5 linked regions of the Oryzias latipes genome follow. The protein of the gene in region 5 purifies or fractionates together with the protein of the main gene of each other region. This does not show direct contact. Links are inferred from orthologs where the notes say so. Each region holds a gene or a part of one and is shown on either strand. Other genes may lie near its edges.

Evidence for each region.
Region 1: the proteins of prdx5 (region 5) and sod1 fractionate together in Homo sapiens (co-fractionation; 3 studies listed by BioGRID and IntAct, with this or other methods). This does not show direct contact. The link is inferred for Oryzias latipes from reciprocal best matches to the Homo sapiens genes PRDX5 and SOD1.
Region 2: the proteins of prdx5 (region 5) and park7 fractionate together in Homo sapiens (co-fractionation; 3 studies listed by BioGRID). This does not show direct contact. The link is inferred for Oryzias latipes from reciprocal best matches to the Homo sapiens genes PRDX5 and PARK7.
Region 3: the proteins of prdx5 (region 5) and peroxiredoxin-1 fractionate together in Homo sapiens (co-fractionation; 3 studies listed by BioGRID). This does not show direct contact. The link is inferred for Oryzias latipes from reciprocal best matches to the Homo sapiens genes PRDX5 and PRDX1.
Region 4: the proteins of prdx5 (region 5) and prdx2 fractionate together in Homo sapiens (co-fractionation; 3 studies listed by BioGRID). This does not show direct contact. The link is inferred for Oryzias latipes from reciprocal best matches to the Homo sapiens genes PRDX5 and PRDX2.

What each region holds. Positions count from the first base shown.
Region 1 is NC_019872.2:10,952,443-10,959,068, forward strand, and holds sod1 (superoxide dismutase [Cu-Zn]), read left to right. Parts: upstream 1-2,819; 5' UTR 2,820-2,942; coding exon 2,943-3,014; intron 3,015-3,810; coding exon 3,811-3,907; intron 3,908-4,018; coding exon 4,019-4,088; intron 4,089-5,471; coding exon 5,472-5,589; intron 5,590-5,691; coding exon 5,692-5,799; 3' UTR 5,800-6,047; downstream 6,048-6,626. UniProt on the Homo sapiens protein: Destroys radicals which are normally produced within the cells and which are toxic to biological systems.
Region 2 is NC_019863.2:8,958,822-8,964,007, forward strand, and holds the end of park7 (protein DJ-1), read left to right. Parts: intron 1-2,394; coding exon 2,395-2,481; intron 2,482-2,795; coding exon 2,796-2,956; 3' UTR 2,957-3,060; downstream 3,061-5,186. UniProt on the Homo sapiens protein: Multifunctional protein with controversial molecular function which plays an important role in cell protection against oxidative stress and cell death acting as oxidative stress sensor and redox-sensitive chaperone and protease.
Region 3 is NC_019875.2:16,490,501-16,496,971, forward strand, and holds peroxiredoxin-1, read right to left. Parts: upstream 4,258-6,471; 5' UTR 4,133-4,257; intron 3,860-4,132; exon of another isoform or gene 3,798-3,859; intron 3,414-3,797; 5' UTR 3,403-3,413; coding exon 3,297-3,402; intron 3,202-3,296; coding exon 3,048-3,201; intron 2,961-3,047; coding exon 2,838-2,960; intron 1,221-2,837; coding exon 1,090-1,220; intron 843-1,089; coding exon 760-842; 3' UTR 388-759; downstream 1-387. UniProt on the Homo sapiens protein: Thiol-specific peroxidase that catalyzes the reduction of hydrogen peroxide and organic hydroperoxides to water and alcohols, respectively.
Region 4 is NC_019859.2:35,388,187-35,394,765, forward strand, and holds the start of prdx2 (peroxiredoxin-2), read right to left. Parts: upstream 4,345-6,579; 5' UTR 4,225-4,344; exon of another isoform or gene 4,205-4,224; intron 3,580-4,204; 5' UTR 3,552-3,579; coding exon 3,449-3,551; intron 3,328-3,448; coding exon 3,174-3,327; intron 329-3,173; coding exon 1-328.
Region 5 is NC_019872.2:19,608,915-19,615,363, forward strand, and holds prdx5 (peroxiredoxin-5, mitochondrial), read left to right. Parts: upstream 1-2,197; 5' UTR 2,198-2,373; coding exon 2,374-2,466; intron 2,467-3,889; coding exon 3,890-4,024; intron 4,025-4,109; coding exon 4,110-4,241; intron 4,242-4,321; coding exon 4,322-4,360; intron 4,361-4,445; coding exon 4,446-4,510; intron 4,511-4,605; coding exon 4,606-4,711; 3' UTR 4,712-4,950; downstream 4,951-6,449. UniProt on the Homo sapiens protein: Thiol-specific peroxidase that catalyzes the reduction of hydrogen peroxide and organic hydroperoxides to water and alcohols, respectively.

The sequences.
Region 1 (6,626 bases), about 8.7 Mb from region 5:
GTGTCATAAATTATTTTAAAGCAAAACCTGTTTTTCAGGTCGGAATAAACCATTTCTGGGTTAAAAGGACATTTTCTGTAAACAGATCACTCCCACACACTTTGTTAGACAGGTAGGTTTTTTTTTCCAGCATCAGGTGATGTGAAAGAATTGGACTGCATCTCAAAACAAACAAGGCGTAGTGAATTATTGGCTACTAACTCTAGTTTTTCCTTTCATTTTAATGTAGCATTTGCATTAAAAAACAACTTTTCTTTTTGAAATTCTTTTATTTTTTCTATCTTTATTTTTTGTGGAAGAAAAGTGGCTAAAATGATGTGAGTCACTTTATTAATGGGAAAAAAACATTTTTAACCAAGTTCATTTTTTTTCCTTTTAGAAAAATGTCTTTCGTTTGCTAAAATGTCAAACACTGAATATCATCTCAGATTTTTTATAAATAGAGGCTCCGTTGTTTTTTTTCTAGGTTGTGTGTTTAGTACGAAGTTGTCAATGCAGTGCCATCATAAGGAGTAAACGAAATACATTTGGGTATTGAATATTAGAAAGGGGTGGTACCAACAGGGAAATGCATACTTTTTGTTTAAAAACTTCACATTCAGCTTTATGATGAAGTGGTTTCCCTTTTTTTGGTACACATTTGAGTCAACTATGATCAGGAAAAAAACAAACTGCTCTAAATGTGCTATTTTTCTGGTTGCTGAAAAATCTGTCGTGGTCAACTGTGGTCCAAACGTTTATGTTCATAATCCACAGATTTATGCTGAGTGTTTAAAATGCATTCCCACTACTATAAAAAGAAATTCAGAACAAAAAACAGAGTGCAGACTTATCCGGTAGGATCCTTTATGTCAGACGGTTGTAAACATTTCTTTTGCCATTTTAATACATTTCCAAATTAATAAAAAACTATTCAATTTTTCTATTAGACACCATTGATGTAGCATCTTCTTTTAATTTCTGTTTCTTAATGACATTTTCCCTGTGCAAAAATGTTTGACTACACACCAATTTGTATGGTTTTAGGTCAAACTAGCCTTGAGCAAAAGCTTCATTTATATATTGTGCTTATACAGTCAAGTGGCATTTTACTTGCATGAAAATTGGAACAGACAAAATGTTAAAAAAAACCTCAATGTTCTAGAAGTGATAAAACTTTTCGTTATACAGGTTGTTTTGGCAATTGAACTGTGCTTAGGTTTTATGAAAAATCTATTCTAAAGTGAAGTGCAGTCAAAATCGCATTGGGAATGAGTTTTGTCTCATCACATTCTGCCTTGTGGGTTTTCCATTCTTCTGTTTAGGAACAGTGAAGGTGAAGTTATAATCTAGATGTGCAAAAATACACGTGTCGCTTAGGATTTATGAGTATTGTCTGCATACTTTTACAAGTTTACCTTTTGAGTTTATCTTTTGGTCTTGAAGAAACTTTTTCCCCAAAGCCAAAAAATCCCCAATTTATTATTATTATAATTTTTTTCTACCAAATCTTCCCCCGGGTTCATAGAGTTGGATTGAAGGACTTGGTTTACAGCTGTCACTTTTCATATTTTTGAATCATTTTAATACGTTTCATTTTGATCACCAGATTTAAAAACAAACAAACGAACCTCCCCACTCCTCCTTAGGTTAATGCAAAGGCAGCAAGTGTGGAACTACAGTACTAATTTGATGAATGGAAGGGTATTGTTGCCTTGGACACTGCTGTAAATATGCTTCTTTCACTGATGACTTTAAAGGTGTTATGGTAATTGTTGTTAATAATGTTACATGTTCAATCCAAGATGAAATGCAGAAGGAACAACACGCATTTGTTTGCTTTAACATTTTTAAATCCTAGTGGTTTGAGAATTGACTGATGTTTTTATGGCTTGTTTAAAGTACAGAAGACATGGACATAAATATGTCAATGTTTCAGCCACAGGAAACTTTTTAATAAACTATTTTTGTACCAAAATGGTTTTTGTGTCCTGTATTTTAACCCATGGTCACATCTTATTTTGCTTGAGCAGAGAAAGTCATCTGTAAAAAAAGGACAATTTGGGATGACCGACAGTCTTTGATGATGGAAAAATATTTTTTGAACGTGTTTCACTTTTGCACTAATCTATGCAGAAAAATTTTCTCATTTTAAAATAAATGGGAATCTCAAATAAATTATTAAAGTTGCAGTCCAATCATCTTTTGATCTATTTTAACGTCAGTTATGTTGCTTTTAGGCGATTTTTTTTTATGACGTAGTTTCTGCAGAGTGGCAGACGTTCATCCAAAATTCTTCTGAGTTGTGACTGGCCAGACACTAACTGCTATTGCTAGCAGTTAGTGCTAGCCATAGCAAAGAAAATAGCAGTTAGTGAGCCTGCCCTATTTTCCCATCATCTTTTACACAAAAACATTTATTTTCCATACAAATGTTGAAAAATAGAAGATTGTGTGCCAGATTAATCTTTTGGGGGGGAAACAACTTAATTTATTGTTCCTGGAAAGATTTAAGAGATTCAAGTTAGAATTGTTCAATGATATGGGGTATAAAAACTTGATAGATTTTTCAGCAGCAACTGATAAGTTGCTGTTATCTGACCAGAACCAAAGTTGTTTTTGTTTAAAAGAGTGCAAAAACTATTCTTATTATTCTGATTGTTTTCAAACATAAACAATATTTCTATATAAAAATCTTTTATAGATAAAATTTTTACAAAAATGTATTAACCGCAATTAAAGATATTAACATTAATAATTAAACTTCACATGCAATTCGTACTCCCATGATTCATAGCTTTTTTACTTCTGGAATCTTCTTCGACCAATCCAAACAGACTATTTGACATTCATCTCGGAATCTGATTGGCTATTTCCAACTTGAGCCCGCCTACAAAGCCTCGCCTTTCATAACTGTAATTGGTCGCCTTTTCCTAGCAGTGTCTTGAGAGACTTGAGCAAAAATGGTGCTGAAAGCAGTTTGTGTGTTGAAAGGAACAGGAGAAACCAACGGCGTGGTTAATTTTGAACAGGAGGTAAAGTTTTGTATTAAAGCTTTAACTTTGTCTCACGTTATGTTCCAAAGTTAGCAAACGTGACCTTTGCTTAATGTTTATCTCCTCTGCTTATTTAGCTCTTCATTGCTAAGCTAGCTAGGATGCTAATACATCATTATCCACATTAGGAAATGCCTTTTTGTGCTGGAAGTTTGCTTTTACTTAATTATGTTTCGCCAAAACCGGCAACAGCTTGCAAAATTACAATCGTTTAATAAGTAGTGTACAGAATTAATGAACCACTATTTCTTTTTTTTCTCCGTACTGAAAAAGTAATGCGTACATCATCATCATCATGAGCTGTTGTTGTCGGCCTTAAGCATGTTGTCTTCGAGTAATTTGACTGAGGTCCATGTTTTAAATTTGCACAACCTTTAGACATTTTACGACTTTGGGTTTTGTAATGATTAACGGTCCAACTGCCTGTGGTTGCGTAAATGAGGTCATTGGTTACCGTTACTACACTGATGGCGCCAGTTCTGTTTAGTTTCCTATTTTTAAGATACATTTTTAGAATTGTTATCCCCATCCAACCTTAAATACCACAATATACTAATGTTGTTGCTGAGTCATAGGAAGTCTACCAACTTGTTGTTTGTTTCTAATAACTTATTTGGCGTTGCTAACAATCTAGACTTCTCACGTAGTAAAAACAGATAAATGTCTGAGCTGCGGTCAATATTTCATTTTCTGAAGATCTACTTTTGCATAAGACAGTCTAAAATAGTAGATTGAATTATTTTGTAGCCACGGTATTTGGTGTGTGTGTGTTTAGAGCGATTCAGCCCCTGTGAAGGTGACTGGAGAAATCAAAGGCCTCACACCAGGCAAGCACGGCTTCCACATCCACGTGTATGGAGATAACACCAATGGTGAGTTCATGAGCCGATGAGTGACTGGGATTCTTGAAAATGCTGTAAATGAAATCTAATATTATCTGACGAGCTTCCACATCCCGTCCCCCCAAACATTTCTTTTTCTAGGGTGCGTCAGTGCAGGGCCTCACTTCAACCCATACAACAAGAACCACGGGGGTCCTGAAGATGCAGAAAGGTGAGGGTCATGTGGGAAAGGGTAGCGAAGTAAATGCAAAACCTGGTTCTATAGCTTATTAGTTTTCTGATATTGGTTTGAATTTTTATTTTATCCCTCCCCATTAATAAATTGGAGTGCTTATAGATGTATACCAGGACAGAATTATAACATGACGGTTCTGTAAACTTGATTCCTTCTGCTAGTAATTACTCTGCCTGCCTGCATCACTCACTGCTGTTATAATCACCTATCATGCTACCTTTACACTGGGCATGATGTGACGATGTTTAGAATATGTGATCAAGCTTACTTGCTTGAAAGTAACTATAGCTTACGTTTCTGGATGATTTATCTAACGAATCAGCTAATTTCTGAAACTTTGTGAAAAGAGCCATCCCATTTTCCATGCAACTTGGTGTTGACACAGTAAATAAATCAATCTCTATCTCTCTCGGCAATGTCCTATTCCTAATCCCTGCATGTTTATTTATTTCTTCTAAAGCTTAAACGGCTCACATTTAAATCACTTAAAGCTGATGGAGTTGTGCTGACAGTTGGGTAACAAATGAGGCATGCTGGGAAGGGGGCTCTGGAAAACCAAGGTTGTTAAAACACTGAGAAATGGGATACATGAAGTAAAATGCACTCTAGGCCTTTGAATTTTGTGCTTATGTCTTTTGAAAAGATCACATTGACTCACCTACATGCACATATCTAACTTGAATGAGGATTAAATTAACTCCAAATCCACCGATGGTAGCCTTAACAAATAGTTTTGGAGAGCAAAGTCTGACAAAGCTGAGCGCTCCAGTGGAACTTCAGCGTTTGTGGGTTGTTTGCACAACTTGCATCATGAACGGTGCTCTGCATTGAGCTGAGTTATTAAAGACTGAGATAGTGTGTCTGGCCTCAGTTTATTAGATTTTTATTCTGGGTTCTCTTTTCTTAAGCTCTGTTATTTCTCTTTTACTTGTGCTTGTTTTTGTGTGTTTTATTTTAAGGGGCTTATTTATTATTTTACTTCATGTGCGGGGTTTGTTTTTATTGTATTCTTGTTTTTTTTTATTTTTATGGAAAGCACCTTGAGCTGTCTGTTTGACATGAAAGGTGCTTTGTAAATAAAATTAATTTGAATTTATTCTGAAAAGCACTCTCCATTAGTCGCATATGATAAGTGCTTTAAAAATAAATCAGACTTCTTTGGTAGTTATTCAGTAGGAATATACTTTTTAAAGATAAAGTAAGCTTCTTTTTTTTTAACAACTTGAAATGCATCTAGTTGGTTTTAACTGACTAATCTATCTAACCTGCCCCCCCCCCCCCCCCCACATCTAAGTGTCTTAAGTTTTTATTTGAATTTATTTGATAAAGGAAGTTTTTTTTTTTTTTTCTTTTTAACAGACACGTTGGGGACCTGGGAAATGTGACCGCAGGAGATAATAACGTTGCTAAAATAGATATCACGGACAAACTTATCAGACTCTCAGGTCCAGACTCTATTGTTGGCAGAACTGTGGTGGTAAGTTTTTACTTTTTAATTTTGTTTTTAATATTTTTTATTGTATAAATTGTTAAAGCTGATAGTATTTTTCTTCCTGCCCTATTTGTCCTAATCATTTAGGTCCATGAGAAAGTTGATGATCTTGGAAAAGGTGGAAATGATGAAAGCCTTAAAACTGGAAATGCTGGAGCGCGTTTGGCCTGCGGCGTGATCGGCATCGCTCAGTAAAATGTTCAAAACCGCACTGAAAGCCGCTTCCTCCCACGGCATTTAATGAGACCAACAAAGCTACTTAATGTAACAGCTAGTCCTTAGTTTTGTTCTTCTGGACTAATAAACTAGCCAAGCCATGCTTTGCCATTGTTCCCTTGGACAGTTGTATGTATGGGTTCGTTTGTGTAGTGGTCCCAAAGAATTGGAAACGCACAAGTTATTTCTGTATGTCTTCTATTAAAAGTAAAATGGGTTATATCTACTGTGATTGTCTCATTTGGGCACTGAGAATGACTAAAACCCCACTTAAATCAAATTGGGTGTGACGTTTTTCAACCTTATCTTGGCGCCAAAATCATTTTAACCCTTGATTGCATATATTGTTCATCGTAGATATTTGTTTTGACGTTTGTTGCATTTGAATGTTTCAGAGCATCAAACTAATAATATATTAGTCAAAGATGCCACAAAATCCACACAAAAGTGAAAATATGAGTTTCAATTGCAGTCAAGCCTTTACGAGAAGTGGTTAGGAGACTTTCACAGGACTGTGGACCAGAAGAGTTTGGAAAACTTTAAAATTGTCCATGTTGGAGGGTTTCAGAACATATGCATTAATTCACTGCCATCAGAATTTTGGAGAGGTCTTTACTAAACCACTAAATGTTCATATATTTTCTGAAGCCATTCAGGGTTTTGTTTTGGGTCAGAACCCAGGCATGTTTCAACTTGAGGTCACTAAAAGAGTACATTCCCAAGGATATAATCTTTGCTCCATTTACCACACTGTATTTTAGACCAGCAATTATTAATAGGTAAGGTTTACAAAAAAGGGAAATGTT
Region 2 (5,186 bases), on a different chromosome or scaffold from region 5:
ACTTGATTGAAATAAATCATACGCCGTCAGATTTCAAAGTTGATTAAAATGTGGTCATTTTCAAATATTTTACATAAAAAACCCTTGTTCCAAAACTACTGAGAAAACTCACAAGTAGTTTGATTTACTTGTTTGCTTGTAGGTTAGGGGTAAAAAAAAAAGATTGAATGATTTAAAAAAAACATCGATCTTTAGCTTTAATTAATTAAATCAATTGAACAATTTTACTTTAAAGTCATTCTTACTTTTTGTGGGGGGTAAAAAAAATCCTTAGTTCATTTTCTATGATAAAAATTATGATTTTTGTTGATGAAACTTCCACTTTTATGAAGTCCACATCCGTGGTTTTTTGAAAGTTGGTTTTCATCATCAAATAAAAATGGGTTTATATAGAGATTTAGGGGAAGAAAATGTATTGAATCAAAATTTGAATCAATTTAGTGTTTTGGCAGCCGTTGATCGTAACAACGTTTAAGTATTATTACATAAGTAACAGCGTTATAAGTTAAGTAACTGAGTAATTTAAATAATTACTTTTATCCCGGCTGCCACGCTGTTTTAGTCACTTCGTATAGATTGTAGTGCGTTACCTTTTAGTTAATTGATTTGGTTTAAACTTTTTTTCTTTCCCTGAGCGTCTTCTGTGTCACGCGACGGGGGTTGTCCTACTCGAGATCACGATTGGAAAGGGATTCAGGTGGGCGGGGGCACACTGAAGCGCTCCAAGATGTGATTGAGCAGCGCAGCCAGCAGGATCAAATCAACAGGACGTGTCAGCATTTTGAGGCTGGAAATATTACGTTTACTTTCTTTAATTAAAACAAGAGGAACAGATGTTTGTCAAATTCATGCTGTGTATCGGAACAAAGACATTTACCGACGTCCATCTGAAGCCATTTAAATTTAATGAACCACTGAGCCTCAAACTTGTATTTTTTCATCTCACAACCCACCGAGTGTGTGCTCCGGTGACAAAGCAGAACCGTTAACCTTATTGCAAAGTACCCTATGTGGTGGAAATCATGCTTCCACTGATCACTGTTGACTCAGACATTCGGAGATCTGAGCAAAGCCGAAGATGTAAAACGTCCATAAAGTAGATTAATGATGAAAGTGCAGCTAAAGACATCATTTCAGGGGATACTTGAAATATGTTAGAAACATTCTCTTTTATTATCATGCAACATTTGGTTTTGCCTTTATGTAAAATTAATATTTAGATTTATAGTTTTCTTGCTGCAGTTTTGAAGTGTGATATTTCTGACTGACAATGTTAACGTTTAGGTTAAGATTTAGATATTGTTATTTTATTGTTATTAATTATTCCTGTTGCTTTCCATTGTTCCCCTCTATTTCTAAAAAGGAAATTATTTTGTTTATTTAAAAAAAATTGGATACCAGTAACTAAAAGAAGTTGATACTTCAAACCTTTATGTTCAGTTTTTGAAGTTAATATCATTGATTTTTCTATATAGCTTTTTGAGTGTTTTTGTGTGATACTTCAAAATTTTCTTTAGAGTTCTATACTTCAATTCCCTCGCTCTCTGATAATTTAACAGAATTTCATTGGTAGAAGTATACCAGGATACAAGAAGTGTCAATTTCACTAAATTATTGAACTTAAGTTATTAGTTGTTTGTTAGCAGCTGAGGAAAAATATATATTTTTTTAGCCATTTTAAATTATTTTTAAAATGTAGTAACTGAGTTACTAACTCAAATACTTTTTGGGTTGATGTAACTAGTAACTATAACTAATTACTTTTTCAAAGTAAGATTCCCAAAGCTGGCCCTAATGAGCAAAGACGGGACAGAGAAAGAATTTTTAGAAGATACGGAAGGGGATAAATCCAGCAAAGCGGATTGAAAAGTCTCCTAAAAATGTCTGAAAACTGCAAAACACTATGCCAAATTATAAACAGTGTTAACTTCTCCATTTTAATAAAAGTTCTATTTTATTCATTTCTCCTTCATTGTACTTGAGCTGTATCTGAATGTCTTCTATGAGACATGGCGTCTTTTGAGTTGGGACTCGTCTCAGGAGTAGTTTGGACTTTCGGTCTGCTGCCCTGAGTGTGAACAGGAAAGCAGCCAAAGCAGCACGATCAATAGTTTTCTATTAACTGTTTTTGTTTGGATGAGCTCACTGCACTGCTTAGACATGGACAAAGTTAATGCGGCAACCCCACCCTTTTTTGTTGCTTTTTTCTTTCAATAAGCTCTTCAATAATAAAATTCTTGCCTTTTCCTGCTTGAAAATTTGAAGGTTTTTAATCCCAGGTTGCTGCATTTTGCTTTTTTTGGGAGGAAACGGAACTCTCTCAATGCTTTTTTAAATATTACTTTTCAGCAGGAAGCTGTCACATGAGACTTGAACAGTTTTGCACTTTTGCAGGCCCTACCGCTCTTTTAGCCCATGGCATTGGCTTCGGCAGCACAGTCACAACGCATCCTGCCATGAAGGAGAAAATGATGGCTGGAGGTAAGAAGTTGGTGATTTCTAATCTGCTGCTGTCATTTCAGCTAAGAAACGTGTAATTGTTTTTAAACAGCAGCAGATGGTGCTGTACTGGCTGCTCCTTTATCTATAGTCTTCCTGCAATGAGAGCACACCACTCAGAGGTTAAAGCAGTTGCAGGAATTTAATAGAACACGCTAGAACTGGGTCAATTGAAATGACAACAGATAATCCGTTCCTGAAGCACGTTGATGGGCAGCATGTGCGATTTCTTAGCTGCTGTTTGAAACTCCTGTATGGTCATTAACCAAATCTTTCTTTTTTTTTTTTTTTTTTAGATCACTATAAATATTCAGAAGCTCGAGTACAGAAGGATGGACATTACATCACCAGCCGTGGACCAGGAACCAGTTTTGAATTTGCCCTGACAATCGTAGAAGAACTTATGGGGGCCGATGTTGCAACTCAAGTCAAGGCTCCTCTTATTTTGAAGGACTAAATGTTTCCACTGTCACCTAAAAAAAGAGGCCTTGCCTCAGTAATAACTATTAAATTCCTTAAACTGTGTTTCACATAAAACAGTAAATATATTTTTCAGCCCAACTAAGATTCTGAGTGTTCTTCCTGTGTCATAGATGCTTACAAATGCTTTCAAAACGGAAATAACACTAAAATGCATTCAAGAGCTTTTCAAGCAGTCAACATGCTCAGCGTATTTCGACAGTTTAATGTTTTTCAAACTAGAAATAAAAGTTGAAAGTGATGGATCTTTGTAGTGTTACTTGTACTGTAGGTCACTGACGTGTTTTCGCATGCCTGCGGCGGTTGTTGAGACCTAAATATAGACGGCATATTGTGTTTTAACGGGGTTACAATTCAGAAGGCGGGAAGCAGAAACCGAATGGATTGACGGTTCAGCTGACCAATCAAATCCCCCAGCTTGGCTGCAGTTGTGGCTCAACCGACGAATGGCACGCGGCCGGTGGGCGGGGCTTTGGAGTCAGCGCATGGTAGCTGTTTCAGAGCAACACAATCCGGAGGGTCTTCATCTCAGTCAAGAAGGAAGAGAAGCGTTTTGACGAAGGTAAGAGCAGTAGGTTTCGGAAATACTTTGGTTATTTGGGGTTTTGTCAACGAGTAATACTCACCCGAGGGGCTTTAAACGGCAAGGATGGTCCCTTAAAAATTTCATTCATTCATTGTGCGCAACGAAATCACATAAATAGCCACTAAAGGTGTGTAGAGTTTAAAATTAGGTAAGATTGTTAAGCTACAGCCGAAACAAGCAGCTGTCTGTTACAACAGTAAGTGTGTGTTTGCCACTAGGACTCATTGTACTCGCCGTGATTAGCCTGCTAAGTGTTCAAATAGGTGAACATCAAGTTCGCTGCAGTTCTTGTATAATGGGTTGAATTCAGCTTTTTTTTTTTTTTTTTTTAAACTGGCCCGGTGGGGGAGCGGTGGCGGCATTACGCGCTCTGATGTGCTGAGACTAAACGCACAAGATTGAGTCCTCACGCCGGGAGATGGCTCTGCAGAGATGGGAGCCGACATGAGACGTCGGTCTGAGGAGCCGTCCGTCCTCAGCAGCCACCGTAGTCAGCCTGAGCCGCAGAAGCTGCGTTGTGGAGCTGATGGGAGTGCGGCAGAGGCCAGCTTCAGTCCATCAGACCGAGCGAGGCATCCCCGCCGCCGCCGCCGCGAGGAAACCAGCTAGAAAAAACCTTCCGCTCTAATATAGGACCATGTTCAAAACGCAAAACTGCTGCCTTTTAAAGAATAAAAAAAAGACTTTTGCCTGCTAAAAAGGACAAGTCAAGATGCTATCTTAGTTGTCTCGTTTTACAATGGGAGGAAATGCAACCCTAGTTTTTACCTAACAGCATTTTCAGAGTGAGAAAGTGCCTGACAGTACTGCCGGACTGCAGGCATTGTTTGCAAAGCATGCAAAAGTCAGAGGTCATGATTAGAGAGCAAGTCAAATGGCTTTTTAACACATCATTATGCAGTCTGACGTTCCCTGTTACACACTTTATTTGCATTTTTTTTAATTGATCAAACTCAAGAAGGCGAACTCGGTGTATTGATTATATGTCTATATATGAATACAAAAAAAAATCAATACCCTTGCCATAAAACGGTCTTCAATATTTCATTTAATGCTGTTGCTGGTATGTAAAAGCAACATCAGCCCATTAAGTGCCTCAGCTAAAGAACCAATATTTGCCTCTCCCTGGAGGACAAATGCTCTTCTGCCTGGACAGTTTCTTGACAGTACTACACAGTCCCAAACATGCAATATTTGATATTTGTATATTTCCTGATAAATAACATTTTGCACTGTTGCACATAGCATGTTAGAATTATTCTGCTTGAGCAGCTGTACAGTAAAGAGCTTGAGGCTTGACTCCCTATTTCTGGATGGGGCAGAGCGGGGTAGGGTAAGGCTGTAGTCTCTGTGACTGAGTCATTGGTTTAGCTAATGATGCAATTAGAATGCTTCACATTGCATCTACTGATTAGACCATAGGGTTCTCCATAGAATGTCACTGCAGTAGTACTTGTACCATTTGGCTTAAAAGGACCTACCGGTATATCTACTCATAAGGAAACGGTCATGCTTTGAGGACAAAACCTACTTTTAAACCTTTATTTTTTCCCCAAATGCGTTTAAAAAGCATTTGAAATGATGTCATACGAATTTTTGAGGATTCCATTGAATCTTGCAA
Region 3 (6,471 bases), on a different chromosome or scaffold from region 5:
TAGAAATATTCATACTTTCAAAGTGTACCATACTGTATAACTTTGTACTTCTCTCGATGAGTAAATGTCTTTTCGTGTTCTTTACAATTTGACTTGTAATTTCCTATTTACATCACATTTTATGGTCATTGCTGTGTTTTGGTTGTATTTGTCTGTATCTGTATTTTTTGGCTCAATAAAGTTTTATTAAATTTGTTTAAAGGGTTTTAATTCATTAATAAAAGACCAGAGGGTTCAGGCCATCTAGCTTTTAACACTTAAACACTTATTTCCAGCTATACGCAGTCTAATTTATGTGCCTAATTTTCAGATTTCATTAAGTTATCCTTCTCCAGAAGTACGGTAGGCTTTGTGGAACAGGAAGTAGATCAACACCAGGCTTTTTTGCAGTTTGATACTTTTTTACTGCAGTTTTCTGTGCACTACGTGGGCATTTAAAGTACATTGTTCACAACATTATTGGCATTTTCACCTTTATTTTTTAGTGAGCAAAAGTCCTTAAAAAGGAGTCCATTTTTTCTTTATTTAGATGCTTACAGTAAAAAAAAAAAAAAGAAACCGTGAGAACAGGTCATCTGGTTCCATTTCAAGAACAATGGTTGTAGGAATCTTTGTAACAACAGTAAGAAATTGGTCCAAGTACAATGTTCACCACATGGACAGGAGAGCATTCCAAAACAGGAACAGTGGACACTTACACATTGTGCTAAATACTATTTCAAAATACAGCTCCTACAGCAGACTTGAGTCGTAGCTTTATTACTGTTTGGAGAAAAAGTCTTTGCTCTTCTGGACGTCAGGCTTGATGGTGTCACTACCTGGTTTCCAGCCAGCTGGACAGACTGAAAAGAAAGAGCGATGAGCAGCAGGTCCCACTATAACAATGTGCCAGTATAAAAGCACAGGCGCAGTGTAAAGAAAATATTTGTTAGGGTTAAAAAAAAAAAAAAAAGTCTGGTTTTAGGAAAAATAATCCAAAAATGTAGTATTTTTTGTATTGTAATGCAAATAAACATACTGTAAACATTTGCTTCAAAGTAATTATTCCCAGGCATGCAGATCAAGGTAATAGCAGCAGTAGTATCATACCTTCTCCATGCTCGTCAGTGAACTGAAACGCTTGAACCAAACGCAGAGTCTCTTCAACCGAGCGTCCAACTGGCAGGTCGTTGATGGTGATCTGTCTCAGGACGCCCTTATCGTCAATGATGAATAAACCTCTAAAATCATGGAGAGAAGAAAAAAAATTGCAGGTTTAAGTCAACTTTAAAGTGTGGGTGACATGGCCTATTTTAATAAGCCAAAATATAGTAAATAGTTTCTATTTCATGTTGCGATTGTTTTTAATATTTTTCGAAAAAGAATAAATAGCGAAAAACGCAATATAAACAACGAGGACGGCCGCCGGCTTCACGCATTCCGCCGAATTCGCGCCGCCCTGTTTGTGACGTAACGAAAGGAAGACAAGGCAGACAACATGGCTAGCACCGATAGCGAAGCACAGAGTGATGCTACCGTCTCTATTAGCGATTTATCATCAGATGAACAGAAAGATGAAGAGGAAAGTTGCGGAGATTATCATGATGATGAGTCACTTTTGCAACCGTATCGATTCGAACCCTTTTGCGAAAGTGAGGAGGATATAGCAGAAAGTAGTAGGTCTAGTGATCATGCCGATCATGACGATAGCCAGCATGAAGATTCGGCTAGACTCCAGCAAGTCTAAAAAATGTATAAAATTAAATTACTCCACTTACCCTAAAATATACTCAAAATGTCCCCTTTTGGCCTAATCTAAACAAAGGTAAACACTGGTTTTCAACCCAATTTACAAAATAAATGTCACAAAATAAAAGTTTCCCAGATATTACTACTCTTTAGTTAACAAAGTCACTGTATACCATTAACAACTGTGGAACATTAACAGTTTTACCCGTTTGAACCCGTTTGAAACCTTTTCTCGTGCGCGCGCGCGCGCTCACACACACACAGTTTAGTTTACTCATGGTACCGGCACCTCAAAAGCAAAAGAAAAAAAACGTTGCAGGCCTGTTGCTTCTCTTGCAAAACATTGAGTGCGTTGAAATACTCCAGTTGGATCCAAGGACAACAGAAAACACGACTACTTCGCCTCAATGTGATCCATCGTGATGCACACTAGCTTAGCAGCCTCCGCTCCCGACTCCAGCGCCGTCCTCTCCGACCCAGAAAACGGCTCGCTCGCTTCCAGCTCACCCGCCTTTCCTCGACTCAGAAGCCAAGATCCTCCTCCCAACTCTCCGTTCAAAATTCTTCGTTTGTGTCCCGGTTTTTGTCCCTTCGAAAACGCAGACTTCTCTCCTGCAGATCTGGAGGGAAAAATCCTTCGCCGTCCACCTTCTTGAACTTTCCCCTTTTCAGCAGCGTTTCTTGTTTGGGAATTTTATACACAGATACACTTTCAGTAGATGTATTGCTACATCCAGCTGCCACACAACGACTTGGCATGTTGATGATTAACAGATTTAAACACGAGAGAAACGAAGACTACCGGTTTTGTTTACATGCTGTCCGAAGCGGAACTGCGAAAATCAACGCCTTTCATGACGTCACAGGTCATATCGGGTTCACTTCCAGCCTGCGCTCTAGCGGCAGATCCAAATCTCTGATTCCTTCGAAAGATGTCTATTATTCATATGCTTCGGATTTTTTTCGACGCGAACTATTGGTATCAATAGAATCAGCGTTTAAAGGGCTTTTTTATTTGACAAAGTTGTTCAAAGCATGGCATCCACACTTTAAGGTCTAATTTAGGGATGTGCAAATAGAAAAAAATAAAAAAAACTCTGTTGTGTCACCTGTAAGCAATGCCTTCATCTTCTTTCAGGACCCCATAATCTGTGGAAATGGTGCGGCGCGTGTCAGACACCAGGGGGATCTTCATTGAACCCAGACCGCCTTGTTTCCGTGGTGTGTTTGTCCTTTCAAACCAAAACAAAAAGAAAAATTGATTTCAACTATTTGCAAAAGTTGAAGCACAAGGTATTATGTTAAAAATCTGAAAGTACCATGCAAAATGAGAAAAGTGAGAGTCCACAGAGGCAGCGATGACTTCACAGCCAATCTTCCTGAAGTCGTCAGCAGCGTCGCTGAAGGCGATGATCTCAGTGGGACACACAAAGGTGAAGTCCAGAGGATAGAAGAAAAAAACGACATACTTTCCTGTAGGAAGAGTGAAACAGGAAAAATAAAATATAAGGTATTAGTGCTCTTGCGCTGCCTTAATTATTGTTTACAAGATAGACTGAGGCTTTTACCTCTATAATCTGACAGCTTCAGGTCTTTGAACTGGCCGTCAGGCATCACAGCCTTAGCTGTAAAGTCTGGGGCCAGGCTTCCAATCTTTGCCTTTCCTGCTGCCATGTTTGTCCTTACTGAAATACAGAAGGAGGAAGTGGGATTAAATAAAAAAAAAAAAAAAAGCCTTCCTCGTTTGCCAGACAAAAAGCACGAATCTATGCATCCATGAAAGAGGAAGTAGTAAGAGTAGTAGTTTTAAGAGTTTTAACGTAATGCATAATCAACTGGATACGTGAAATATAACAACATTTAGAAAGAACATGATACAAAAGTCAAAATAATGAACTGGATCAATGAAGTGGGTTTTTCAAAATAAAAGCGTCAAATGAGAGAATGGTTTGAAAAAGAGTTGGAATGTTATTTAGACAGTGTCCACTTAAACTAGTATTTATTACAGCTTACGAGCGCCTCTTTTAGTTTACATTTCCGCATGTGGGAGACAAAGTTAAATGTTTTACTTTTGGTGGGAAAGAAGATCGCCCCGTTTTGGGGAACAGAGAGGTTTTCACGCCCCACAACGCTTAAAAAAAAGAAAGAAAGAAAACGTTTAGAGGCCCAAAAGTGTTAGTCTTAAGACCCAATTCATTTAATATAATATGGGGAAATAAAAGTTATAAAAAATCTGGTTATTTGATTTTCCACACGAAATCAAATCCCGAACGGAAATAAACAGACACTTGTTGAACTGAAAACTTCCGGGTTTAACTGTATGAAAAAAAAAAAAACCTTTAAAAACACAAGTAAACGAGAGGGGGGGGGGGGGGTGGTAAGATGAAGGCATTATGGTACTCACCTCTTAGCGATCACGCCACACCAACTGTCAGAAGCGAACGTGCGGGCTCGAGTGCGCTATCAGGAGGTTTTATAAAGCCCAGAAATCTCGCGATAACATCGACCGAACAAGAACAGAACCTTTCCTTGATCCCTATTTCCAGAAATGAAGCATTCAGCATGACTCTGCACTTTTTAACTGCTATTTCATGAAAAGGAAGCTAGAGAGATGCCTCTTTTTTTCTAACATCTCTAGTTTATGAAGCCATTAATTTGTTTTAAAAACACAGACGAGGGGAAAAACAGCGTTTGGTAGCTTTCTCAATTTTTCTCATAACTTTTGTCAAGTATACATTTCGTTTATCCATATTTCTTAAACTCTTCCTCTCCTTTTTTTCTACTTTGGCCATGCCCTTACAAAAAAACTCCCGGTATGGAAAAGTCTTGTAGACGTTATATTTCAACCAGGGTATTTTAAGCTGCATTTCTCTTGCCAACGATATTATATTTTCTTAAGCAGTTTCTGGAAAATCTCACTCCCTTCCTTCAAACACTTTATTGCAACACTGTGTGCTTATCCAGATTGCTGCCAAAGTCATTTATCTTTTTCATTTCCTGCTTTCCTCTCCTCTGTAATATTTACTGGAAGGAACAGAACACATAATGTACACACTGTCTCGCACAGAAAGAGGTTTCTTGTTGTTTAATTACAAGCCCTAAACGCTTAAATAAAAGCAAAAAAGGTAAAGAAAAACAACAAAATGTCTTCTGTTTAACAAAAATAGATCTGCATAATCCTTAAGTGGTTGCTCTTCATGTGAATCATTCAGTCTTGTCAAATGATTAACCTATGTCTAGTTCTTTATTTAGATACCTCACTTTTAGTGATTTTCTCACACCTAGAGCGATGATGCGTATGAATTGTGAAATGCTAACGTTCAGATTTCTCTGTTTTGCCCAGAAGCTGATCTCATTTACTCTAACTTAATGTTCATATGACCACAGATCTCATGATTGATATTATCTCAAAAGGGGGAAACAACTCAATGGAGGTCAAACAATAATAATAATAAGACTACACACAGTAGAGTAAACAATAGTGTATATAAAGTTGGAAAGAGTTCTTCTGTGTATTTTCTCTGTCATGGCAGAAGCATCCCTCCGTCTTCAGCTATAATCAAGCTGCATCTTTGCAGGCTGTTGCCATAGCGCTACTTCAAGGACCAGACTGGAGGGAGAAACACAATAACCCCCTTTAGAAGCAGCACTCTGAGCCAGTGATCAAACGCTGGCCTGCATTCATCCCCTTTCTCATCCTAATGTCTGCATAATGAGGGCGTGTGATCGTACACGTTTGAAGGACACTTGTGGGGCTGTCATTGTGGTTTCAGTCAGCACTGCAGTTTTGAAACACAATTTCCCACAGATGTGAAGGTGGGCTGAAATGCTGCTAATGTCTATTTTAAACTAGAATATCTACAGGCATTTTACCAAATTATTGAAACCACAGTCATTTTAGTACAAACCTCTTATCCGCTTATCAGAAATTGTGTAGAGATTGCGTGAATTCTACTCAAAAAATGTCAGATTGACTGAAACCATTTGTGTTGAAACAGCACAAAGAAGAATTAAAAATTCTATCCACACAAATTAGGTGCAACACGTTTCCCCTATTTAATTGTGTTAATCCTATAAATCATTTGTTTCAGTGTTTGGTTCAATGGTGTCAAAATCGGCTGAAGTTCCAACCCATACACAAGTTAAAACAAAAATGGTGCACAAATTTACACCATTTTGATGAAATGTCTTTTAAAAACCTTTAATCTATTTTGCTCAAAGCTGAAGTGAATGCCTTCATGGTGTGATCGGGAAATCCTATTGTTTACTAAAGCAAAGCCTCAGGTTTCCAGAGCAAGAAAACAAACCTACTCCACCATCAAATGTGTGTGATTTAAAAAGAAATGTCAAAAATGTCTCTTCATCAAAGAACTTTGTTTGAATTACACCAACATCAGTTGTTTTCTCCCGATCCTAAATGTAGATAAAGTGATGCGTGCACTGTGGAGTGTATTTTTCAGGTAATTATGTCTGATAAAGCTAAATGTTTAATGAGGAAATAGCGGTGGGAATACGGGAGTTGAACAGTGGGAGGTTGATTGGGTGCCACGTTGAATCTTGCCTTTTTTAAGGCAGTGATGGAAAGAAATCAGCAGGACCAGATCAAAAGGAGGACGTGATTGTGGCATGTATAGCACACGTAGGTCAATAAGCAATCTAGAATCAAAACATACATGGATGTTAGGTAAAGCTCAGTTCTCAGCAAGTTTGTCAAGTTGAGGTCTGGATTTTTAACTTTTTTTT
Region 4 (6,579 bases), on a different chromosome or scaffold from region 5:
ATCGGTGTGCTGGAAGGCTTGGATCAGACGGAGAGTTTCATCCACGGAGCGACCCACGGGCAAATCGTTAATGGTGATCTGTCTCAAGACGCCGTTGCCGTCGATCACAAACAGACCTCTAGGGACAAAAACAAACACGTCCTGTTGGGATCCTGCGTTCTCCCACAGCTCAGAAAGCCGGACGACGGAAGGGAAAGAATCGGACCTGTATGCGATTCCGTCGTCCTCCTTCAACACGCCGTAGTCTCTGGAGATGGACTTGGTGAGGTCGGCCACCAGCGGGATCTTCATGCTGCCCAGACCCCCCTGCTTCCTCGGGGTGTTGATCCTTTTGCAGGTTAGGAACATAAAACATGTTTAGACTTTACCACAGATCCACTTAAGATCCCACGTCTCCAACAGGATTCTTTAAATTAAAAAAAAAATAAAATAAACATATTAGGGAATTCACGAAAAAAGCAGACACGTTTCTATTCAGGGAAGCTCCGCCCCTTTTACAATGTTCACAAAGTTTCAGAGCGAACCGAAGCTGTGGGGCAAAAACAGCCAGCAGCAGAGGTCAGAGTACTTGCTCAAGGGCACCACAGCTGTGGGCCGTTTGTCCCGCACACATGTGATCTTTGTTGGGGCAGGAAATTCCAACCAATCAGAAGTTCCCGTCCAAAAATAACTCTCATGCCACCTTTTTTATCAAAACGATGTACATTCTGCTCAATGTCTTGAAAGGCAAAGGAATATGGGCAAAAAAAAAGAAAAGACTAAGTTTGAATGAAGAGACGCCAGATTTCCACCAGTCCATCTGTCAAGTGCAACCTTGGTTAATCAATAGGAATGTTTACGTCGCCTCCGTCACGCCAGCGTCTGGCGTCCGTCCCTCTGCAACGCAACGGTTCCATTTCCAATCCCACGACGCATCAAAAGCAAAAGGCCGGAAAAAGTAAAAACTTTCATTGAACTTTCAAAATAAAACTTTAGGAACTTTTATATTTAAGGTAACGTGCCAAACCATGCCCCCAATAGAAAGGGGGGGGGGGGGGTGGAATGGGGTTGGAATTAGAAATGTGAATAAGGAAGCCAAGTCAAACAAGGTATTTTCTGTAACTATGACTATCGTCATTCTTTTTTCCTTTTTTCCTATCAAATCTACACATTGCAGTTCTATACTTTAAGATTTTTGCTCTGAACAGATGAAGCTGTGCACGTCCAGCTTAGAGGTAAAATCTTAAGCCCGGGCTCGAGTCTGAACGGTTATTAAAGTTAATTGGTCAGGTTCGGACCGGGTTCGGCTTTAATGCCCGCGGGCCTGTGTCGGGTCGGGCTGGATATTTTAGGCCTGATCTTACCTCTAGTCCAGCTCGACTATTTGACAGATTTGTGTTCAAACTGTCCTGTTTCTATGTTGTTTGTCTGAAAATTCCCCTTTTCACGACAAACGTCTGCAAGTCAAACTGAGCAAAATGTGATGATGAGGGAAGTGATCTTCACCTTTTCCTTACTGCAGCTCACTGCAACTCAGATCACACAACCTGCAACCACGCATGTTGACCTGAAGGGCCGCATTTACGGGAACGCTTTGTGGAAAAGAAAAAAAAAGTTTCGAGTGGAAGAATATTGGGGGGACTTTAACGTCTGACAGGGAGGGGCAGGTTTTTACTCCATAGGCTTTAGGTTTAAATCTGGACCAAGACCCGGACTGAAGAGGAGGAGCAGCTTAAGGATGAACTTAAGGGAGGAGCTGTGAGACCGTTGGGTCAGCACTTATCAAGACCCTGCAGCCAGACCCTGACCGGAGATAAACCTGGGTGTGTGTGTGTGGGGGGGGGTCTTCAGAACCAGCTGATGTAAGCTGTTGTACCACATCTGCTCTCTGGTTAGAAAGTGTTCCTATAGAATTGCTCCACGTTTGTAAATACTGCCGGTGCAGACTCAAATCCTGCACCGCCCTGTGTGTGCGTGTGTGTGTGGGTGTGTGTGTGTTTATGGGTGTGGGTGGGGGGTTCCCCAGTCCACCATAAACTGAGATTCGGATTTAAATTCGAGGACAACGCGTCGATCCTCACAGGTTAAACCTCCGCCTGCGTTCCCCTGCCGACCTTTTCTTATCAAAGCTTTCCGACTTGTCCTTGACCTTTGCAAAGACTCCCAACCCGCTCAAACGCAGTTTTTCCAGGAACAGGTTCTGATAGCAACCCGCTGACTCATCAGGAGCTGCGCTTACATGGACAAAAGTAATCGGAACGAACGCCAGATCAAAAGAAAAATGTGTCATGTAAATACGCCGTTCCACCAACACGGATTATGCAGATTGTTGATCAGATCATGGTGCATGTAAACCGTTTACTCTAATCGTGGGTCACTGCTGCCCTGGTTTACGTCACCTATAGACGGTGTGACGCTCCGGAGGAGACTTTGGAGCACAAACAGGACCGACCGCCTGCTCCACCCGTGTGAAGCGTGTCTCTGATCAGAGCAGAGACGTGTAGCTTCGTGGGGGGCGTTTTGTTGCGGTGTGGCGCTCCAGAAGAGGCTTTGAACCGCCGTCCGTCCTGCTTCTCTGCGTGAGCGAGCTGCTGGACTCAGGAGAACCGGGTCTCCCGATAGAACCGGGTCTCCTAGCAGAGGAGCGGCTCTGGGACGGATGTGAGCTAACGGAGGCGGCTATTCAATGGAGAAACGCTGCAGAGTCCTGAGAAACCGTGGAAACAATCCTGTGAATTCATGTTATTTCTGAATAAAGGCTGATGTTGTTCCCACATGTTTACATGCAGGCAGCAGAGATGCAGATTGCAGCATCGACCGCATGGATTTGAACTGCATCCACGGCTAAATGTTGTTGTTAGCACGTGTTAGCCTAAGCTAACCCTTCTTCTGGCTCTGTGCAGCCAAGAAAACATGTGAACAAGCACTAAAATCACCTCTATGCTGCAGCTTGTTTACAACAGAACTCAATGTTTCGTCTTCTACAGACGTTTCCGGTATTTTAGAGAGTTCTGCTCGTGTCACAATGATTTAATCCGAACCAAAAGTGTGACATATGTAAACGTTTGTTATAATCGTATAAAGTGTTTCTGGGCCCATGAACACGGTTCAATTCTACTCCGATCAAAGACATTTTGCACACGTCACCGCGGCTGCTGTGGGTGATCTCCGGTTCTTCCAGCAGGAGGACTCACCACGCCAGGTGGCTGAAGTGAGAATCTACGGAGCAGCCGATGACCTCGCACCCGATCTTGCGAAACTCCTCCGCCCGGTCGCTGAAGGCGATAATCTCGGTGGGGCAAACGAAGGTGAAGTCCAAAGGGTAGAAAAAGAAAACCACATACTTCCCTGAAACACACAGAAGGAACCGGTTACTCAACCCAGAGAGGATGAATCCAGTTACCCCAACGATGGCGTCGGTGACACCAATCCAAGCAGGAGCAGGTGCAAATACTGAATAATGGAGTACCTTTGTAGTCCGACAGCTTCAGGTCCTTAAACTGTCCATCCACTACAGCGGTGGCTTTAAAGTCTGGGGCAGGCTGGCCTATCTGAGCTTTTCCAGCGGACATGATGGTGGAGGATGAGCAACTGCAGGGACTAGAAGATCCACGGATGAAGAAGACAGAAAAACAACACGTTTAGGCACTGCAGCTGAAACAAAGTCTCACGGTTTGAGATCTCTGCATTCATCCCCCCTGCACCCCCCCCCCCTCCTCCTCAAGGAGGTCACGCGGCAGTCAGGAGAACAAAAGCCTTTAAGAGGCGCGCGGAACCTACAGCCTTAAACGACTCAAAAGGAGAAAGATAAGAAGAAAAAAGAGAGACGCACTTTTAAGGCGGGAATGAAGACTAAAGGTTGTTTAACTGAAGTTCAAAGTTCATTACCTGAAGTGTTACACACACACACACACACAAAGAAAGCACACATGTTCCTTCATTGTCTCTTAAGTTGGTCGAAAACCAACAAACGCCGCGCGGCTCCGGTTAGATCAAAGGCACCGCCAGCGACTTTCAAACGCGTCTCCAAGGCTGTTCGACCGAACCAACCCGGACCCAAACAAAGACGGAACCGCAGGCAGGCGGGCCCGGACCGTCGCTACTAGCTAGCTTCTTTTAAACATTAGCTTAAGAAACCGGGTTTTTTCTTCTTTTTTTTTTTGTTGTCAGTTTCTTCCGGAACAAACCGCAAAACCCGGAGACGCTGACGTCAGACCAGACTGACCCCGTTCACTCCCAACACACCTGACTGCCCGCCGAGAACTCGGAGGAAGGTTTGAAGCTTCTGGAGAAAAGAAGCGCGGCTGCGTGGAAACAAGTAGACCCCGACAGCTGCGCCCCCGGAAGTACTACACCCTTCAAAATAAAAGCCGCTCCTTCGGCCCTGAGAAATCTTTGGAAGAAGTTTGTGCGTTGGGGCTCACTAAAGCAGTGACACTACTAAGGAGTTAGGAACGTTGTTATTTACACGAGGACTTTTCCTATTCGGTCTGAATATTGAGGGAAAAAATCATGTGAAATCACTAATAGTGAAGAAGAAACACAATTTTCATCAGGTTGATTTTTATTACCCCTAGAATTAAAACAAAACCAAAATAACAGACATTGACTGTGTCAATAGCACTCTTACACAAGTGCTACATGCAGTTCTGCTCAGGTCACTTGCATGTCTCTGCTTCCGCTGATCCCCGACCTGCTCTATTGGGTTCAGGTCAAGGGTCATTGCTGGCTACTAGAAAAGCCACTCCCACTTCCTGAAGTCCAGCTGTGACAGTTCTGGCACCATGTGGTGGATCATCATCATCCATGAACAGGAAGTTGGGGGTGTTCTGGTGGAATTGGGGGATGATGATGGTTCTATAACGTCTCTGAGGTCAGAACCTGCAGTGACTGGACCGTCTACAAGAACCTGGTGATGCCGGTCCAAACTGTTGCTCCTCCCCCACCAAAGTGAACCCTGGAGACCATGTTGACCTCATCGTCTCGCTCCACCTCGCGTTCTCCAGCAACGCTGGTGACCATCTTTTCTGCACGGTGACCCGACCCTCATCCGTGAACAGGACGGCAGACCGTGGCTGCATCGTCCAGGTAACATGGTCTGTATTGCAAACGTTCACGGCGGCGTCTTGGTGTGGGTGGGGTCACCTGCAGCGGTCGTCTGTCATTCCAATGTGGTGGAGTCGGTTGGGAATGGTTAGTGTGGAAACCTTACTGTAAGTGTAAATTCAAAGTGCCCAACATGCTAACTTTTAAAATAAATAGCTTACAATATAACTCAAGATCAAATTAAACATGAAACTTGTGACATTTACAATGCACAGCCTTATTGTACTGTAATCTAACGTGTGTGGAAATAGATGAAATAAAGATGATCTGCGGACTGAAATCCAGTCCATTGTAAATGTTGCTTTATTTATGCTATGTCAGTCTTTTATATTTGTCCAGTTTGTAATTATTATTTACATTTTTGTATTTGTGGCCTTAAAAAAAAGAGTGGATCAGGTCCAAGTCCTCTCTGTTTTGCCAACCTGTTTCGAATCATCACTTAGCAGTGTCAGTTTTCTTTCCTGTTCCTTTTTCAGTGATGTTTTTTTGCCCCCCTTTGTCCCTTCCTGTCGCCCATGACTGAGAGCTCTCACTTATGCTGCGAGCTCCTGCTAGCTTACAGCCCCTCACACCCCCATCCTAATATTACCTGTGCAACAAAAACGGTGAGCCGCTTTAGATCCAGATACCAGTTCAGAAGAGGTGATTTAAATAAAGAAATACTCAGAAATCCAATGTTGAGCATCATTTTCTTTATATTTGTCCTTTTCCATCAGAAAAAGGCTACAAGAACATGTTAGAAATCGGAGTGGGCCTTTAAAATACTTTTGCATTTGACAACTATGTTCTCTTTCATACACACATTTACAAAACAGTAATAAGTCTGTCATCGAAAAAGCAAGTAATATGAGATGTGGCAGTCCCCCCTAGCAGTAGGTAGGAAATGCCAATCACCCACAGTTTTATCGGGTCAAGTCTCATTTTAATGCAGTAACCCAACACTTCCGGGAGACGGCAGTAGTGCGTTGGTATGTATGGGTTGGTACAGTGAAATCCATAGAAGAAGAACTCTGTGGAGCGCTACTTCCGGTGAGCTAGCATATCCTGATGTTTCAGGCACTTTCTGAGAGATTTTAAGTAGATTCACGACTTTAATAAATGTGTTATGAAGTTAACACGTGTCTGTGAGGTAGATTATAAAACTTTCCGGTATTTAACTGAATAAAAACGGATCAAGCAGTCACTGCTGTACCTGCTGCAGTGTAGCAGGCAGCACACAAACAATGGCGGCTGCTAGTACTACAGTAGAGTACTATCTTAGCTAAATCCATCGAATACCTTTGTACGTTTTTATATTTTAATCCTACTAACGAAAAAGTACGATAATCGAAATGGTAAACTGGTAATGAAACGAGGAACAAAATAAAAAGAGACCTGGAAAAGAAAATGCTTTCTACGACTCATCGCGACAATTGTCTGATCGCGTGTTTTTTTTTTTTATTATTATTATTTTTCTTATCGCGTGGGTTCAGGAAAGAGTGTGGATGATAGCAT
Region 5 (6,449 bases):
CTTTGTAAATTTTCATGGAAAATAGGTATTTAGTCACCTACAAAAAGCAAAATTTCTGGCTCACAGACCTGTAACTTCTTCTGTAAGAGGGTCATCTGTTCTCCACTCGTTACCTGTATTAATGTTACCTGTTTGAACTGGTTATCTATATCAAAGACACCTGTCCACAACCTCAAACAGTCACACTCCAAACTCCACTATGGCCAAGAACAAAGAGCAGTCTAAGGACACCAGAAACTGAATAGTTGACCTGCACCAGGCTGGGAAGACTGAATCTGCAATAAGTAAGCAGCTTGGTGTGAAAAAATCAACTGTGGGAGCAATTTTTAGGAAATGGAAGACATACAAGACCACTGATAATCTCCCTCAATCAGGGGGACCTAGTGACTGACCTGCAAAGAGCTGGGACCACACAAAGGCTACCATCAGCAACACACTACACCACCAGGGACTCAAACCCTGCAGTGCCAGACGTGTCCCCCTGCTAAAACCAGTACATGTGCAGGCCCGTCTATAGTTGCTAGAGAGCATTTGGATGATCCAGAAGACGATTTGGAGAATGTACTATGGTCAGATGAAACCAAAATAGAACTTTTTGGTAAAAACTCTACCCATCATTTTGGAGGACAAAGAATGCTGAGTTGCATCCAAAGAACACCATATCTACTGTATAACATGGGGGTGGAAACATCATGATATGGGGCCGTTTTTCAGCAAAAGGACCAGGACGACTGATCCGTGTAAAGGAAAGAATGAATGGGGCCATGTATCATCAGATTCTGAGTGAAAACCTCCTCCCATCAGCAGGGGCATTGAAGATGAAACGTGGCTGGATCTCTCAGAATTACAACAATCCCAAACACACTGCCCGGGTAACGAAGGAGTACGTTTGTAAGAAGCATTTCAATGTCCTGGAGCGGCCTAGCCAGACTCCTGATCTCAATCCCATAGAAAATCTTTGAGGTAGTTGAAAGTCTGTGTTGCCAAGCAACAGCCCCAAAACATCACTGCTATAGAGGAGATCTGCATGGAGGAATGGGCCAAAATACCAGCAACAGTTAGTGAAAACCTTGTGTAGACTTAGAGAAAACATTTGACTGCTGTCATCGCCAACAAAGGGTTTATAACAAAGTATTGAGCTGAACTTTTGTTGGTGACTAAATACCGGTACTTATTTTTCACCATAATTTACAAATAAATTCTGTAAAAATCAGACAATGTGATTTCTGGATTTTTTCTTTCATTTTGTTTCTCATAGTTGAGGTATACCTATGATGAAAATTAAAGGCCTCTTTATTGTTTTAAGTGGGAGAAGTTGCAGAATTGATGGATGACTAAATACTTTTTTGCCCCATTGTACGTCTTTGTTTTCCTCGTTTGAGCTAACATAGCTGGCTATTTTTGTTGCAACAGTAATATTTGGTAGGGGGTGTGAGCTAGCGAGAAAGTGTGTAAACAGAGAGCTCTCATAACAGGGAGGAGAAGTGGGGCTGTGTTGCTCCACACCCTGTAGTCTTGACCACAACCCAGAACTGAATTTCTGAATTTCTAATGAACTACTGCCACTCTGCAGAAACTATGTCCTAGAAAGTGAACTACTGCCACTCTGCAGAAACTATGTCCTAGAAAGTGAACTACTGCCACTCTGCAGAAACTATGTCCTATGTCCAGAGGTTTTGTGATTTTTTTTTTCTAAAAACAGCTCAATCCTAATTTAAATACCACTGGGAATGCTTTGAAATAGATCACGCAATGATCCGAGTGGGACTGTAATGGTATTTTAGCTTGGTGATTAAATGTTCTTGCAACAATTCGTATTGATGTCTGTCATTTTGCACGCAAACCATCAATACAAGATAAGCGATCATGAAAACAAAAATCAGATTTCTTAGATTTAATTGTAATCAGATTTTAGGAATAATGGTGAGAGTCCAGGAGAAAATAGTTGTAAGAAAAAAATATCACATTCTTACAACCATTGACAAAAAAAGCAAGTGAATCAAAAATCTCCACACCAACTATGAAAGAAATGTGGAAAAGGTTCATGTAAATGTGTCCAATCGGATTGTTGCAGTAATTCAGCTTTCAAATTGTTGAGTCAGCAGGCTCTGCTTAAGTATTCAAATGTTTTGGCATCCCCTCAGATTTATTTAAACCACTTTTAAGTAGTTCCGACTAGCGTTCGGATTAAAGAGCTGTGCAGCCAGTTAGCTTGAAGCTATTTTCAGTCTTTACAGTAAAGTGGGTCGATCCCGTAAACCCGTTTGACTGGAGGAGCCCGTTCCAGCTCCGTTAGGAGCAGAAACCTTAGGCACTCCCGTCCCTGAGGGCTGCTCCCGCGTGAGCCCACTACCAGCGTCTCCGCGCGACGCGATGCTCTTCATTAGATCCAGTCCCATCAGGCACTGCGGGCTGCTGCTACACAGACTTCTCCACGGTTCTTCTATCTCCAGAATGCCGATTCAGGTACCAAACCTGCCGCTGTACACTCTACACCCGTAGAGACCGCCATGTGCGGATCTTATTATTGGATTGAGACCGCGGGATTTGGTTTTATTCCGTTTGTAGCCTAACATGCTAACGTGGCTAACACCAGCCGCTATATCAGGCGGAGCAAAAAGGGAGTTTCCTCCATTTCCAACCAAAACGCAGAAGTTTTTAGTGAACATTTAAACAGAATTTAAGCATTACGTATTTTGGAAGATAGCTTCTAGATATTTATTTAATGTGTATCTTTGGCAGCTTGGCCAACCTTTACCTAAAAGGTCATTTTTACTTGCCCCAAATGACCACTCGGATTTTGACGATTTTCGAAAGCTGATTTTTTTTTTGGTTTATAATTTGCGCTTTTCAGTTCTGTGCCCTTTCTTTTTAAACAAATGTGATCGTATCTCTGAATGAACCTTTTCTGTTTTTTCGATTTTTTTTGCAACCTGTTATTGTTAAAGTTGGTTTTCATAATCCCAAACGTCATAATATCTGTGTAATGGCGTACGTACATTATAATAAATAGCGATCTCCTGGTTTGTTGTTGACAATGAAACGTAAAAAATGTATTTTTAAGATGAAATATGCATCAACATTAATATTAAAAAACCTACATGGAAAATGATTAAACTGTCTTTTCTGAATTAGGTGATCTTTTTGTGATTTTGTCGCCCTCAAGTGGTCCTTAGTAGAAGTGCACAATCTTGTTTAGAAAACGCATTATTATTATTATTATTATTATTATTATTTATTTTATTATATTTTATTTTACCAGGAAATTCCATTGAGACTGCATCTCTTCTTCAAGGAAGACCTGGGCCAAAGGGCATCAATACAAAATAAATACAGTTAAAAAACAACTGAAATAAAATACATTACAAAATACAGATGCAATTAAAATTGAAATGAACAGTAGGGCAATGACTAATAGGATTAATTAAAAAGTGGTACAGATAGGTCAAGGGTGACATGTGCATGTTTCTTTTAAAAGCTCAGAAAGTTTTGCTTTAAAACAATTCAATGGAATAAGGTCATAAGGTATAAGGAATAAGAAGGAATAAGGTTATTATTCAGTAGAAAATGCCCATCACATTTTTAAAATGTGTGACTAATAAAATGTCTTTGTTTTGTTTAATTTTTGTTGTGTTACTTATTTCTTCTTTTTGTCATATCTAATTTACAATGATTAAATTTGCAGATTTATATCTATGTACAAGTAAAAAGCAAATTCTAGCACACGTTTGAGATAAAAAAAAGAGAAAATCATTTTTCTTTTATCAAAGTAACATTAATGATGTAAATAAATTAGGTGATAATGTAAAAACAACAATTCAAATGTTGTAGGTACGCTGTTATTTTCTTATTGTTAGAATATATGCACTCATTGTGGATTCATTAACAGGTTGGTGAACAGCTTCCAGCTGTGGCAGTTGATGAGGGGGAGCCAGGAAAAAAGGTGTCCATGGATCAGCTCTTTAAGGGGAAAAAGGGAGTCCTCTTTGCTGTTCCTGGAGCTTTCACTCCGGGCTGCTCTAAGGTAAAGCGTCAGTTGACCCTGGTTGTTCTTGATTTGCATGCAGTGATCTTTTGCCCGCTCATGATTTCCTCTCTTGTTGCTCCAGACTCACCTCCCAGGTTTTGTGCAGGAAGCTCAGAGCTTAAAAAGTAAAGGCATACATGAAGTGGCGTGCATCTCAGTCAACGATGCATTCGTCATGGCTGCATGGGGGAAGGAGCACGGAGCAGAGGGCAAAGTATGGATTCCTGTCTGCATTATACAGTCTGTATTGATAAAGACTGGAGGTTGAGCTTGCTTCCTCTTCTCCATTTGCAGGTCCGAATGTTGGCTGATCCGACTGGAGCATTTACAAAAGTAACAACATTTGCCGTACAGCAAGCAAACACAGTTTAACGTTGTCATTTTGCCTTCTGATCCGCCTTTCCTTTCTGGTTTACAGGCTGTTGACCTGTTACTAGACAGTGACCAGATAGTGCAGGTGCTGGGAAACAAACGTTCAAAGAGGTAACATTCATTTGTCCTTCATGCTCCTGCAGTCCTGATCACGGCGCTTGTGGTTTTCAAGCTGAAGCTAACTGCGGTTCTGACCCGTGCCTCAGGTATGTGATGTTGGTGGAGGACGGAGTGGTGAAGAAGATCAACGTGGAGCCGGATGGCACCGGGCTGACCTGCAGTCTGGCCTCTAACATCATGTCGGAGCTGTAGCTCCAAATGAGCGCACTGAAGCAAACCGTTAACCAACAGCTACTGTAAAAGTTGCACAAGGAGCATGGCGCTGACTTGCTCAGACTTCTCTCTTTTCCCAAAGTTTAATGCAATTGTAATGTGATCGCTTGCGACAGAGCCGGAACGCAAGTCATACGCACAATTATGACACAGGGAGCTTTTTCTAGACTGTTCTTTTGTTTAATCCTAGCAAATAAAATTCTCTCTAAAAGCAATAATCTGCTGTTTTTTTTGGATATATTTTTCTAGCTAGTGTGTTTACAAAGGCTAGTAATTATCCAAAATTACTCAAGTGAAAGTAGAATTACTTTGACATAATATTAGTAAAGCAATCATCAAAATGACTGGGTAAAGTCATTTATCAGAAGTACTCAAGTTAGAACTTCTGTAGGGTTTTGGTCAAAAACCTTACTTAACCCTTGTGCTATCCTAGGCACTTTAACGTTGGGAGTTGGGTCATCTAGACCCACTAGACCAGGGGTGGCGAACAAGTTTGTCACCAAGAGCCAAATTTTTTCGCTGTGAGAGTCAAAGAGCCACACCACACACTGACCTGCCAAAACGTACACACACACGCAATTAAAGCCGTATTACTTTCCATAACACACTCATCTCCCTACAACAGAACAGCAAGTTTTGTACTGATGTTTATTTCAAGGAAAGAATCCACCTTCAATACACACATCAATGCAGCTTAGCCAGAGTAAACACAGAGACTACCCTGGAGGTCAGAGACCCCCTCCACACACTCTCTCTCTCATCTCTCTCACACACACACACTCTCTCTCTCTCTCTCATCTCTCTCACACACACACACACTCTCTCTCTCTCTTTATCTCACTCTTTTGTCTGCCTCTCTCTGACACACACAACCACACAGTGACAGGCGGTGAGGTTGATGCTGGAGTGGCACTGACTCCTCTGAAGTCAGATTTACGATGATAAAACTGAATATTTCACCATTTATCCAACAGCATTTAACTGGTAATTCTTTGTGTCTCAACATTCCTCTTTCAATGACCCTTACACCAACAAATACACAAACATCTGGACAGAGCATCCTTCTGGTGTCTGAGTCATTCATATTCACAATAAACACATTAAATACATTACATGTCAGTTGTGTGCAACTTAAATTAATTTTGACCTTCATTAGAATATCTTGCTTTTATATGTTTTTTTAATTTAAAATTGAATGACTGACATCTGCATCAAAGGCAAATAACCTATTTAATAGTAATACATTGCAATGAGTCAGTTCGTACTTAAAAGGAATAGTCCAACAAGTTCTGAGTTTAAATTTAACTGGCTGCATTATCCACGCCTCTCCTTCCTGCTCATGTTTAGGAACCTGGTAACTTCTTTTCTCACTCACTCAGCCAAACGGCATGCAACTCAAATCTGCTAACAGCTACCTGGCTCACGGTTTTACACTGAAAATGTCCTACTTCCCATGACTCTTAGGGGCTGAAGGCGGGGCTAACCCCGAGTTCTCCACACCATAGATATGTGTGCGGGGTGGGCGGATTGGGCGGTTTTTCGCTGGGTCTGGCGGTTTTCTCGTGACTTTTGGGCTGGAAAACTGTGTCACTATCTGGCAACACTGATCAGCTCCTTTACCTGAGTGTCGGTCAGAACGGACCGATGTCTGTTCTCCTAATTATAACAGGGCCTTCTTTCAAAGAGATTTCTGCTCATTTATCTCTGGTTCTCTCGC